Nothobranchius furzeri: one gene and its partners. The protein of the gene in region 3 interacts with the protein of the main gene of each other region in a biochemical or structural test. Links are inferred from orthologs where the notes say so. Each region holds a gene or a part of one and is shown on either strand. Other genes may lie near its edges.

Evidence for each region. The genes of interacting proteins can lie anywhere in the genome.
Region 1: the proteins of chek1 (region 3) and mcm2 form a complex in vitro, tested with the Homo sapiens proteins (2 studies listed by BioGRID, with this or other methods). The link is inferred for Nothobranchius furzeri from reciprocal best matches to the Homo sapiens genes CHEK1 and MCM2.
Region 2: of the proteins of chek1 (region 3) and atr, one has a biochemical effect on the other in vitro, tested with the Homo sapiens proteins (7 studies listed by BioGRID, with this or other methods). The link is inferred for Nothobranchius furzeri from reciprocal best matches to the Homo sapiens genes CHEK1 and ATR.

The regions. Positions count from the first base shown.
Region 1 is NC_091743.1:72,011,666-72,015,830, reverse strand, and holds the start of mcm2 (DNA replication licensing factor MCM2), read right to left. Parts: upstream 2,801-4,165; 5' UTR 2,705-2,800; coding exon 2,699-2,704; intron 1,508-2,698; coding exon 1,308-1,507; intron 1,237-1,307; coding exon 1,064-1,236; intron 971-1,063; coding exon 840-970; intron 774-839; coding exon 635-773; intron 552-634; coding exon 454-551; intron 379-453; coding exon 257-378; intron 169-256; coding exon 1-168. UniProt on the Homo sapiens protein: Acts as a component of the MCM2-7 complex (MCM complex) which is the replicative helicase essential for 'once per cell cycle' DNA replication initiation and elongation in eukaryotic cells.
Region 2 is NC_091758.1:22,151,820-22,155,963, forward strand, and holds the start of atr (serine/threonine-protein kinase ATR), read left to right. Parts: upstream 1-1,344; 5' UTR 1,345-1,496; coding exon 1,497-1,549; intron 1,550-1,663; coding exon 1,664-1,755; intron 1,756-2,904; coding exon 2,905-3,057; intron 3,058-3,151; coding exon 3,152-4,062; intron 4,063-4,144. UniProt on the Homo sapiens protein: Serine/threonine protein kinase which activates checkpoint signaling upon genotoxic stresses such as ionizing radiation (IR), ultraviolet light (UV), or DNA replication stalling, thereby acting as a DNA damage sensor.
Region 3 is NC_091750.1:44,931,971-44,936,151, forward strand, and holds the start of chek1 (serine/threonine-protein kinase Chk1), read right to left. Parts: upstream 2,811-4,181; 5' UTR 2,714-2,810; coding exon 2,657-2,713; intron 2,495-2,656; exon of another isoform or gene 2,491-2,494; coding exon of another isoform or gene 2,470-2,490; coding exon 2,426-2,469; intron 1,768-2,425; coding exon 1,653-1,767; intron 931-1,652; coding exon 822-930; intron 691-821; coding exon 626-690; intron 557-625; coding exon 487-556; intron 406-486; coding exon 217-405; intron 1-216. UniProt on the Homo sapiens protein: Serine/threonine-protein kinase which is required for checkpoint-mediated cell cycle arrest and activation of DNA repair in response to the presence of DNA damage or unreplicated DNA.

The sequences.
Region 1 (4,165 bases), on a different chromosome or scaffold from region 3:
TCCGGGCAGGATCCTGGCTTCACCTCCTGGTTCTGGGACTGGAAGAAGGGTCCGAGCACGAAGCTGCACTTGTTACAGTTGTATTTAACCATGCTGAGCTGAGGCAGGACTCCGGTACAGCTGCTCACCACGCCGCTGGTCCGGATCAACTGGTTCAGGTGGAGCTGCCTGAGGACCAGAGCAGAAGAACGTTTGTGAACAACACAGGACTTTAACAGCATCGCGGAGATGTTTAAGAGCCTGGAAGCTGCGCTACCTGAGCGATCGAATCTCCTCGACCAGCGGCAGGTTACAGATCCGGACGTGGATCTCGTGAGCGATGCGGTCGTATTTTGGATACATGGTGAGAACTACTTCTTTGGCTGCTTCATCAAAAATCTGACAAGAGAAATGTTTGGGTTCATTAGAAAAAGTCCTAATTATATTTTGACTTCCACGATGATAAAAACTCACCTTCAGCATCTCCGTTGGAGCTTCTGGGAGGAAATAGGCCAGAACGTGCTCCCTGGCAGCGAGGTCTTCGTAGTTCACCACCAGACTCTCCTTATTCTCTGAGACATCGGGACAAAAAGCAGGATTAAGGTTTTTCAACTCCTCTCCACCACCGTTCCTCCGTAGCAGAGATCTCAGCTACCTTTGCACATGTCGCTGATCTTCTCCTTAAACACGTTGTGGCCATTCTCGTCCACGTGGGTCCGAAGGAAGTTCTTGAAGCGGTTGTAGATCTCGAGCCGCGGAGCTGCCATAGACACCCACTCCCTCACCGTGTGTCCCTGAAGGACGGGAGGGGATTAAAAACCCAATGTGACGGTAGAGAGGCCTGAAAGAGCTCCACAAACCTTCATGTCTTCCAGGTTCTCGATGCTCTCGATCATCTCCTCCTCATCTCCATCTGCGATGCCCTCAGCGGCGCGCTCAGCCAGACGTCTTCGCCGGGCGGCAGGACGCTCATCGTCCTCGTCTTCGCTGTCTGAAAACAGCAACAAGGCAACACTTTCAGTGTTTTCATTCAATTGGATTAAAGCCGTTCTCCAGAAATGGGTCCGCTCATCTCCATCCTCACCATAAAGGAGTCCTCTCCTCAGACGTCCACTGAGGCCCTGCTCCCGGTCCCTCCTCCTCATCGCCTCCTCGGCAGCGGCTCGAGCTCCCGGCGACAGCTCCGACAGATCCTCGTCATCCAGATCCAAGCCCTCCATCTCGTATTGGTCCAGTGCCGGAATGGGGCGGTAATCTCTGGAAGAGTAGATCCACTTATCATTATGAAGCTTCCAAACAAGCTTCTGATCTCACAAACTGGTGTTCACCTCTCCATCCCATCTCCAATCAGATCCTCCCCGTCTGCCTCCTCCTCCTCCTCCAGACCCCCAGGCAGGGGTCCGTCCCCAAGCAGCCCCTCGGACTCATCCTCAAATGGGGGCAGGTCCCGTCCTGGGCTGGAGGTCAGGTCTCCTCTCCTGGAGGGTCGGTTGGGGCTGGTGATCACGTGGAACGACTCAGAGGAATCCTGTCAACAACAACAGTTACATCTCCAAACGGGCTGATCGGTAACCCTTGCAGGCAATTGGAGGGTGCAATCGTAATGTTAAACAAAATAAACTAAAGTGCAGAAATTTTGTTTTAACCCCCCCCCCCCCCATGTCTTAATTAGATAAAAAGAAAAAACTAAATGACCAGAACATCAAACAGCTCAAGAGCTTTTCAGTGGAGCATTTTAACGTTTACTGTATAAAACCAAACTAAGTTTAGTTTGAGTTATTGTTAGTTGTCTTAATTTGTTTTATTTTGAAAGATTACAATAACGGGTTTCTGGGTATAGAAGAACCTCTTGGTGCAATTTTAAATAATCCGAAATAACAAGGGAAATGTTTTCCCTGATGAATAATCTGCGTACAGCAGACAAGAAACAGCTCAGAGTAAAGAAGAAGAAGAAAGTATCATTTCTATAGCGCCTCTGAAGATAAAAAATGTAAAAATATAAAAAAGCATTTAGAAAATGTTTAACAATATATTTAAAATGAGCATAAATAGACAATTGTGATTAAAAAAATGTTAAGAAAGAGAGGGAGTGAATAGGAAAGAGGGAAATCAGTGGATCCTGAGGAAGGTGGAATAGGTGGGGAGAGCAGAATAAAGAGAGTGGTGAAGAAGGTCATACAAAAGCCAGCATGAACAAGTGAGTCTTCAGCTATTTTTAAAGGAGACCACTTTATTAAACAGTTGTTAAATAAAGAAAAGGCCACATGAGGACACGATCAGTCACTTCTGTGTTGTTGTAACTAAAGGAGATTTTCGGCTGATTTACGTGAGATAATCTGGACTTTCTATACGTTTAAATCTCAAAAACTCGACTTGAATGCATAAAAATCAGACAAACTGAAGCTGCCACATGGCAGCTCTCCGTTACAAACACCATAATTATTGTTTCTAATAACGTAAAACTAAATAAAACACTCGTCAGCATCGTTGTCGGTCACGATTCTGCATTAAAACATCTAAAACTAATCCTGATTTCCAAAAGAAAAGTTCGGATTCTTAAACAGTGAAAGTCTTTGTGTGCTTGTTTCCACAAACGAGATAAGTCAGCAAAAACTACAGCGATAAACTGGAGTTAATAAACGGCATCTTCTTTCGTTTAAGCAATAAAACCTAATTAAAGCCCGTTTTTGTTGTTTTTCACGGCTTTACTGTAACTCACCGCCATTGCTGAACTGAGCTGCTGCTGCTTCAGTGGACGACGCTGCTTCTTCTTCCTGCCCGGTTGTCCCTTTTCGCGCGAAATCGACCACGTGGAGCTCAAAGCCCGCGAATGAATATGAATATTCAAAGAGAATGCCGATGCTGGTCTTTCTCATTGGCTGACCAGATTTCAAGGGGCGGGTCTTCCTTTACGATTTGTTCGGTTTTGTCGCTGACTAGCAGCTGAATCTGCGGTGTCTCGGATGGTCTCGGTAGATACCACCCTTCAGCGGCCTGAGCCGCAGAGATAAACAAACAAACCCTCCTTGTGTGGTGTTCGTGACGTAGATAGTATGCGTTCAATTTCTTCAAGAGTTTCGGAAATTGGGTGGATTATTTTACAAATAACTGCTTAGTTCAGACAGACAGACAGACAGATAGACAGACAGACAGACAGACAGATGATAGATAGATAGATAGATAGATAGATAGATAGATAGATAGATAGATAGATAGATAGATAGATAGATAGATAGATAGATAGATAGATAGATAGATAGATAGATGATAGATAGATAGATAGATAGATAGATAGATAGATGATAGATAGATAGATAGATAGATAGATAGATAGATAGATAGATAGATAGATAGATAGATAGATAGATAGATAGATAGATAGATAGATAGATAGCATGTTTAATAATAATAATAATAATAATAATAATAATAAGACCACGGCTAAACTTATGAATTAATATCACTACGTTCATCACAAGAGAAATAACACTATTAGTGTTATTCATAATAATACAAAACCATCCATTGGTTATTGTTTCATTTGATTCACTTGGCATGCAGGTCATACAAAGACGAGGACCTTTTTAGAGCCATGACTAATATAATTAATGAGTTGAAACTGTTAGTTGAGTTCTGTGATATTTGGCTCTTTGAAAGGATCTCACTGAATCTGTTGTAGAACCACAACCAGGACTATTCTGTGATTTGGGCGAAGTCCTGAGATGTTTCTTATGAGTCACTGAAATGCTGCAGGACAGGAGGAGGAGGATGGATTTCTGAGCCTCCTATTGGCTGAGAAGCTTTGCAGGTAGGCTCTGATTGGCTGGGATGATGTGAGCAGAAATACTTGAGTCTTTGTTGAAAACAAGCTCCACTCAGTCTTGCAGCTGAGCAAAACCAGGTCAACAATTCGAGAACAGAGCATCAGCTGTTGCAGGACCTCAACGCTGCACCATTAATGTTTGTGTAAAAAAAAAAGCAGTCATCAATAAAGCAGGGAGAAACTCTGATTCTGTTCCACTCTGCTGCATGTTGGGGCAAAATCAGACTGCGGTCAAGTGAGCCGCACCTACAATTGAAGTGCGCGTTTACACGATAGTTTACGGCAACACCCGTCTCGCTGCTGGAGAGGAGCTGAGATGAGCGACATAATGGGCTATCAGGATGACACAGACCTGCAAAATGT
Region 2 (4,144 bases), on a different chromosome or scaffold from region 3:
TGTAACAACCTGTCAAGTAAAGATTTTATGAGCCAAAAAAGCAAACTTTATTAAAAGGATTAGATCAAAAGTCTTGTGTCCTCAGAGGGCTCTTGGTGTCTTGTGAATAAGTTAAGGATACTGTTCAAGTTACTCATATCGAAGAAATTTATAAAGGATTGTGATTATGTTTACAAATAAGTTTATAAGTGTTTAGTAAGTTATTAAATGACCATTTACAAGGTATTAGGTACTATATATATAATTTATTACAAATAATCAATATTTAAGCATTTACAAATGCTTTAGAATTATTTATAACCCTAAAAACAACAGTTAAACTATACATTGTACATTTATCGGGTAACACTTTACAATAAGGGTCCTTTATTAACGTAATGTGCATTATTAGTATTATTAATAAGCTATTAAATAAAGCATTAACAACGGCTTCATATTAATGTTAATAAAAAGTAATGCAATACTTAGTGAGAAAATATCTGCCTCTGACACGTTTATATTGCCTAATAAAACAGAAATTAAAAAATATGTGAATTCTTTTTTTATTGCGAGATTCCGGCTGCTTTGGTGTGTTTTCTGTCTGTCAATGATTTCTTTTCAGTAAATTTCTTGTCTCAGATCATTCGTAGCTTCTGCTTATTTAGACAAACAAGCACTCAAACGTTCAAACAGGAATTTCTTTAATTAGTTTTATATATAACATCTATATATGTTTTGAGAACTGTGGTGGAAATGTTTCACCGAACTTGTGAATTACACAATAAAGAGATAGAACTTATGTGTTTTCATATTATTTATTACCAAAGGCATAAATAGTGTTTGGGTCTCGCTCTATGAAGATCACAGAATGAGCCCAGAACCAAGGATTACAGTCCAACAAGACACAGGCACATGATGACAAAAGCAAAGTACAAGAACTTTTCATAATTCTGCCCACCTCCCTATATCTTCCTCTTTTAACAGACGCAGCACAATGGCAGAATGCCTGCAACTATAAAAACAACCTTGAGTGAACCTGCACTGCAGACAATAATAAACCATGATGTCAAAACAGTGCACGGCATACATAATTTTCATCCCAGAACTTATTCCTTTCATTAATTCACTGTTTTGTTTTCAGGATATTTTTTTACTTTAAAATAAAGATTACTAAACATAAAAATTATATTTGCAGAGTTGTAATACCACCTGTTCTTTCAGAGCCTAGCTCAAATGAACCGGACATGTGAACACACGTTGGTTTATTCAATCTATCATGCTTTTTAATCTTTTTATCAGGAGAATTTCGGAAGGCTTTGAGTTTTTGTTTGGTATTTTGGGCCTTCGTGCGTGCCGTATGAAAACAAACTACGTCAGTTTGGAGCGAAACTTTTCGAAAGCGTTTGGCACGATGGGCAGCTATTTGACTTGCACTCTGGCTAAAATAACCTGTTATATCTCACTAGTAGTACCTTAAAGAAGCTTTGAACGACGACACTATAAGCAGACGAGGAAAAATGGACGGGCTTGAAATGTCTGCGATGATTCCTGCTCTTCAAGAGCTAGCTAGGTGAGTAGTGTTAGCCAAAAGCTAAGTGGCTAATCGTTTGTTTGTTACTGAGGCTTCACTTTATTTCTTTAACTATCACTCTTTTTATAAGTTACATCGTTTATCTGTTTGCAGTGCCAGCGCTGCTGAGTACGAAACAGCCGTGCAGAAACCTCGACAGATCCTCTGCCAGTTTATTGACAGGATACTGACTGACGTGGACGTCGGTAAGTCATTACTAACGGGGGACAAAAACCGAACCAACAGAGACCATTCAGCGCCAAATAAAAGCTCGTTTTCCTTTATTTTTCCTTTAGATCTTATAAGGTTATTAGTTTTAATAATAATTTTAGCACGTGCTCTTAGGTGGGGAGTGACCCTTGTACCTGAACAGGTATTAAACAATTTTTGATAAACCTAATGGAAACAAGTAAATAAAAAATGCATCGCATACATAAACCAAATGTTTTACAAACTGTTAACTTTATAGTGGTCATTTATTCATTCATTTAAAAAGCAAGTAAGAAAAGAAAGAAAAAAAGAAAATTATCTTTTACTTAGCGCCTCTCAAGATAAAAATCTTGAGGCCTTTCACAAGAACAAAAAAATTCAGAATGCCAAAAATCGTGAAAATATGGTTAAAATTAGAAGAAGAAAAAAGTTTAGAATTGTGATTAAAAGTGCAAGGAAAGGGAAAGAGAAAATGAATAGGAAAGAGGGGAATCAGTGGATAATTTGGCACCTTAGTCCATCTTAATTAAAGTTGTAATATTCTGCCTAAAACTCCGTGTTGCTTCCTCTTCAGGTAAAAACTGCACTGCATTTGAATTTACATCTGCCGTTGCTATTGGTTAAGAGGTACCCTATGACATTAGCTGGTATATTATGATATCACAACGCTGCTGTGTGTGTGTGTGTGTGTGTGTGTGTGTGTGTGTGTGTGTGTGTGTGTGTGTGTGTGTGTGTGTGTTAGAGGCTCTGCCCTTTCGGTCTGCCAGGCCTGTCCTTGTGGTGCACTTTTCAAACAGGAAATGGGAGAGGAGTTAGACTCTGGTAGGGGGTTACTTGCTCTTTAGTCAAGTACTGGTTGTAAGGGTTGAAAACCATATTTGTCTGTATATTCTGGTCATTTTTGTTTTTTACATCTTGGAACACAACCTGCAAAACTATCAGTCAAAAATCTTCAGAAGTAAAAATAAACCCACATCATGTCAGTTATGTACCTATGTTAAGAGAGTAACATCTGATTGTCATTTTGTTTTTTTAGATGTGTGTGTTTATTTTCTAAAATCCTTTTGTAATTTTTTTCTAATATCACTCAGAGATGTTTCTGATTTCCAGACTTGTTAAACACAGCCCTCTTCTCTTTTTTTAAGTTGCTTTAGGACTAAATAAAAAGTCCAGTTCAGAGCCAGCATGTGTGATGCTGCTTGACTTTGTGCAGCACATCGTCAAATCCTCGTCCCTGATGTTTGCAAATCCTGCCTGCCAACCTGCTGATTACCCAGACACCGTACAGAGCTGCACTGGTACTAAACGACACATTGTTGAAAAGTTTCACACATTATGAAGAAGCCAAAAACATAACATTGTCTTTTTCTTCATATTCTGCCTTGATTTCAGATTTCAGTAAATGGGTGATGCTGCATTTGCTTCGTGTGGCAGCAGCTCCAGGCTGTGATGTCATTCACGGGCGCGTCTCTGCCGTATTGTGCTCTTTACTACACACTCTAAGAGTCAGGATGCCGTTCATCTTCAGCTGCCTCACCGAAGAAGTCATATCATTGACCCAGGAGCTTAGCAGCATCCTGCACACTCACATAGTGACACTGGCAGGACCTGGACACAGTGTGGGTGCACACATCCAGGACAGATGGCCTGTGAAGCTTCAATGCTTCAGCATCAGTTCCATTCGTGCCTCCGTCTACCTCACCCCTACTCTCCTTCTACTCTCCTCTCCTGCTGCCTTGGAGTCGCTGACTGCTGTGACTCTCAGTATCACAAGTGACTCTCTGAGAGGAATCATTTCCTGTCGGGACCTGAGTTTGTCTTGGGACACGGCATGCTCCATCTTGGCTAACGGCAACACCAGGCTGAGGAAGGTCTCCATGGTGTTGCTGAGGAAACTGGTAGAGCTGCAGAGGTTTCCCGAGATGCAGTGTCACAAATTTTTCACGGCCTTTTTTCATTTGCTGGAAACGCACTCCGACACATCCGCAGCAAAACACTCAAACGAGAGCCAACCCTATGGAGGAGAGCTGATCAACTTAACCCGCTGTTTGTTTCAGTCGTCCCACATTTCTCCCTCTGACTTTGAGTCCATCTACCTCTCACAGATGTTTGAGTGTGTCTGTGCTCTTGGAGGGGCAGGAGTTAAACTGGGGTCAGAAGTTACTGAATCTGTTTGCCTGCTGTTCCGTTTTTTACTGTCTGTGGCTGAGATTCATGAGAGTGCTGTGCTGCTGAGGAAGCAGAGGGTCACAGATGTCTGCAGAACCTTGGCAGCCACCATTGGGACAGAAAATCAAGCAGAAGTATGAATCTGTTCATTATTGTTAAATTTTTTAAGTTTTATTTATTTATTATTCCTTCTACCACCTCACTGCTTGGGGTTTC
Region 3 (4,181 bases):
CAGAAAACAGATGGATGGATTTTTTTTCCATGTTTGGAGAGTTTACAGAGCCAGTCGAGACCCACATGGTAGCACAAAAGTTCGATTTTGCATAATATGTCGCCTTTAAGTTATTAATTCAAATTATGAAAGTATAGAGCATTGATCGGGATGATTAGTCTGTTACACTAAAACCCCCTGAAAGACAGCGGGTGCCTGGACCGTGTGGGATCTCACCTCCAGCTAGCATGGCCGTCAGGACGATGCCACAAGCCCAGATGTCTGCAGGCTGAGCACTATACTCTGATTGGCTGAGAAGTTCTGGAGCAACGTAGGGAAGAGTCCCACAGAGTCGGTTCAGCTGGCGCTCACGTCCTTTGAACCGAAACATGGTGGCTAGGCCAAAATCAGTCAGCTTTAAGTTGTCTAAAGGTTAGAAGATAAAAAAAAATGATGCATGGTTATGAGAAATCATTAAAAAAAAACTGTGGCACTCTATTTGCCCACCTTTGTCATCCAGCAAAATGTTTTCGGGCTTTATGTCTCTGTGGGTGATGCCAAGGCTGTGGAGGTACTCCTGAGAAGAAGCAAATAAAAGAATAAAAAAAGAGCCCGAATCAGGCAAACAACACAAACATTCACCCACCACAGCTGACATTAGCTGCTGGAAAAACCTGTGAGCATCCCTCTCTGGCATTCCCACATCAGGCTCTAAAACACCAGAAAGACAAGAACTCGAGTTAGGCAGGAACTAGTTAAGATAATAAACTGATCTGCACTTCACAGACACCAACAGTCTGCTGCAAAAATACAGTTTTATCAGAGAGCCCGCAGTGTTTTACCGATCCGGTCAAACAGCTCTCCTCCGGTGCAGTACTCCAGAAACAGATAAACAGTCGCTCCTTCTTTCCGATGCCCAAAAAACTTCACAATGTTGGGATGGTTGAGCATCTGACAAAGAACAAGGTTGTATTTTTAATCACTGATTAGGGCTGCACGATATTAGGAAAACATGCAATGTCCGATAGTGATTAATATTGCGATGATGATATTACTTGCAATAAATAATAACTTAACTCAGGAACTAAAATAATAAAAAAAAATATATATATAAATAAATTTTAAAAATGACAAAAAATTTCTTCAAAATGACAAAAGCAAAAGATGTGAAGAAAAGACAATCAGTGGAACCCGGGAAAAGCAGAATCAGCAAAAAGAGCAGAAAAAAGCTAACTTAAGGTGTTTGCTAACCATCAAAATTAAGTGCCGTCCGCCTCGGGGGCGGGCATCTAACCTATGAGAACCCATCCAATTGGCCAAATGGGTGAAAAGCTGTTTTATTTGTTAAAAAAACATCACACTTCCGTTTGATTGACAGAACGCATTATGTGTAGCAAACATTTGACCCGGACCCGAATAAGCGGAGGAAGATGAAGACGAAACATTTGAGCTGACCATTCATTGCAATATTTATCTGTTCTTTGCGATATGCATATTGCACATGCTGATATCGCGATAACGATATATTTACGATATATTGTGCGGCCCTATCACTGATTTCAAACGTTGAACCAGCACACTTTGTTTATTTCTAAAATCAGAACAGAAGTGTTTGACTTAAAAATCCTCAGAAGAAGGTAAATGTGTTTTCTGCAGCTCAGTAAGACAGGTACCTTATGGACGCAGACCTCCTTTTTCACGTTGTCTGCACACTCTTTAGACTGAGAGGTATCGACGACTTTCACTGCCACTGCCTCTTCAGTGTGTCTGTTCACCAGCAGCCTCACTCTGAAAGAGCATGGTTCAGAACAAAAAGAGAAATAAATCAGAATTTCTATAAGAAAGAAAATAGAACAGACTTTTGGAGTAAAACAAAAACTAGAAACGCACCGGAACCGGACAAATGTCAGCCTGATTAGCTAAACTGGTGATTGACCAACCCAAAACTCTACTTTTCGGATGAGTGAACGCAATAGAAATGACTGGTCCATGAACTCACCATCAGCCCTTTTCTTTAAGATCAGTAAATGCCGCAGATATCGGCCTACAAAATCACAACCGGTGCACATCTGATAAAGGTGATGTTTTTTTTTTTTCCTATTTTTACTTCACCCTGTGTCTTAATGATTTTTAGCTGTTATTTTTGGGAATTTTGTTGTATTTCCTTTTTATCTTTTATCTGTGTTCGACATGTTTATATAACGCCTGTTTAATTAACCAACATTTTTAGTGTACAGCGCCTTGTTTGGTTGTAATGCCTTGTGAATGCGCTTTATAAATAAAATTGGATTGGATGGTGTGAATTACAACGTGCATTTAACCAGAACTTAATTATTAAACAAAAGTAGCTTGAGTAAAGAAAAACGCAGCTCGACTTTAACCTGCATTAAGGTTTGGTGCAGCATTTAGCCCAGCAGCTACTGAACTATATATATGATGTTCTTACTCTCCATATGCTCCTTCTCCCAGAGTCTGAACGAGGTCCCAGTCCTGGACAAAAGGCACCGCCATGATGCTTCAGTAAACACAAAACACACAACACGTATGTAACGTGTATAAAAAAAACTCATCATTAAAGACAAACAGCGCCAAACTTTAACGTTTGCAGGATGTGAAGCAGCGCTAATGTCACGATGCCTCCATATCTGTTCAGCGATGATTCATGTGACTGTCTTACCTCCACCGCCTTTTCCCTGAGCTGCGTTTCCCACATGTGACGAGTCACAAAACACATTTATTCTAACTCCGCCATGGATGTGCATCTGTGATAAAGGGGCACAAATTTGGCGCCTTGTTGTTTTACCGGAGACATTGCGTCATTTCCTCTTTTTCTTCTACGCTTTTGCAGGAAACCTACAGCAAGCGCACACTTCCGCCCCCCTCTGGTGAAATAGTACACAGCACCCAATCATCCACCTGGTTCTCCCTGAGCTGTTCAAAGATTAATGAATGAAAGCCGCTGCTGCCTGCACACAAAGGACTGTAGGTCAAAGCATACTCAGCACAGGACATGCAGATATACATTTTACAGACCACACTTGCATTGTAGGACGTTTTTATCTGCCATGTAGAATAAAATATGCCGCTATAATACCCATTCTGTTGTGCACATTGTCCATGAATTGTCGTATGAATTTCAAAAGTGTGATATGGCGCAACTTTGCACCATTTGTTTATTTATTGTTTGTGACATCACAAACAGGGACTTTTTGAAACAGCTTGTTTTAGGAACATAATTCCTAAAACCAAACACTGACAGTAAATGGATGGAGTGTGATTTTCCAACCTTCTGTTTGAGAAACTGAACAGAAAAATTCTTTGCTAAATCCTGGAGGAATAGAGATCTAGACCGATCCTTTGTGAGTGGATAATTTTTTTGGGAAAAGGGCTCAAAAATGTGTTCAGTCCATGAAATGAAATGTGTTGTTTTTGACAGCTATTATCTAAAAATCTAAGTGTGTAAAATATGTATCAGACGGATGAGCTGTTACCAGGCGTGTCCAGTAGAGAGAGTGAGAGAAAGCATCTCAGAGTTGGAAACCTCAACATCATACATCTGTGTTAAATGTAGATCAGCCACAAGAGACACAAAGATGATATGATGCGCGGTTGAAAACATCCAAGCACCAAACTGAGACAATATCAGTAAAGGATATACTTTTTCTTTCAGTGACTAACCTCTTATTATACATATGAGATTAATCTTCCAGGTGATCAAGAAGAAAATTTACGTAATTACCTGCTTAGCTCATGTAGAATGAGAAGAAAAACAATCGAGATTCCAGTTTGGTTCTTTCTAGTGTTTCATCAATAAATAACTCAACATGTCAACAAAGCTCAAGTGTTTGAGGGTGTGTTAGTGACATTGAGAGGTGGAATGTTATGAAGTGGTTACTTTTAATAAAATTTCAACTAAATATAAAAGTATTCAATAAAAATATGGATTAGCAATGTTATTGAACCTTTAATATTTGATTGATGATGAAACTAGGTACTTTGGATATGCCAGGGAACCAAAACCTTATAATAATTTGACACAGAGGCAAAAATGTAGTTTATAAAAATCTATTTATTACTATATTTCTAATACTAGGATGACGCAGGAGAAATGATTATAAATGGTGATATAACCCTTCCACTGTCTTTACGGGTGACCCCGCGAGGGAAGTTGACTATTGAGCAGGGTTGATGGTTTATCCCTT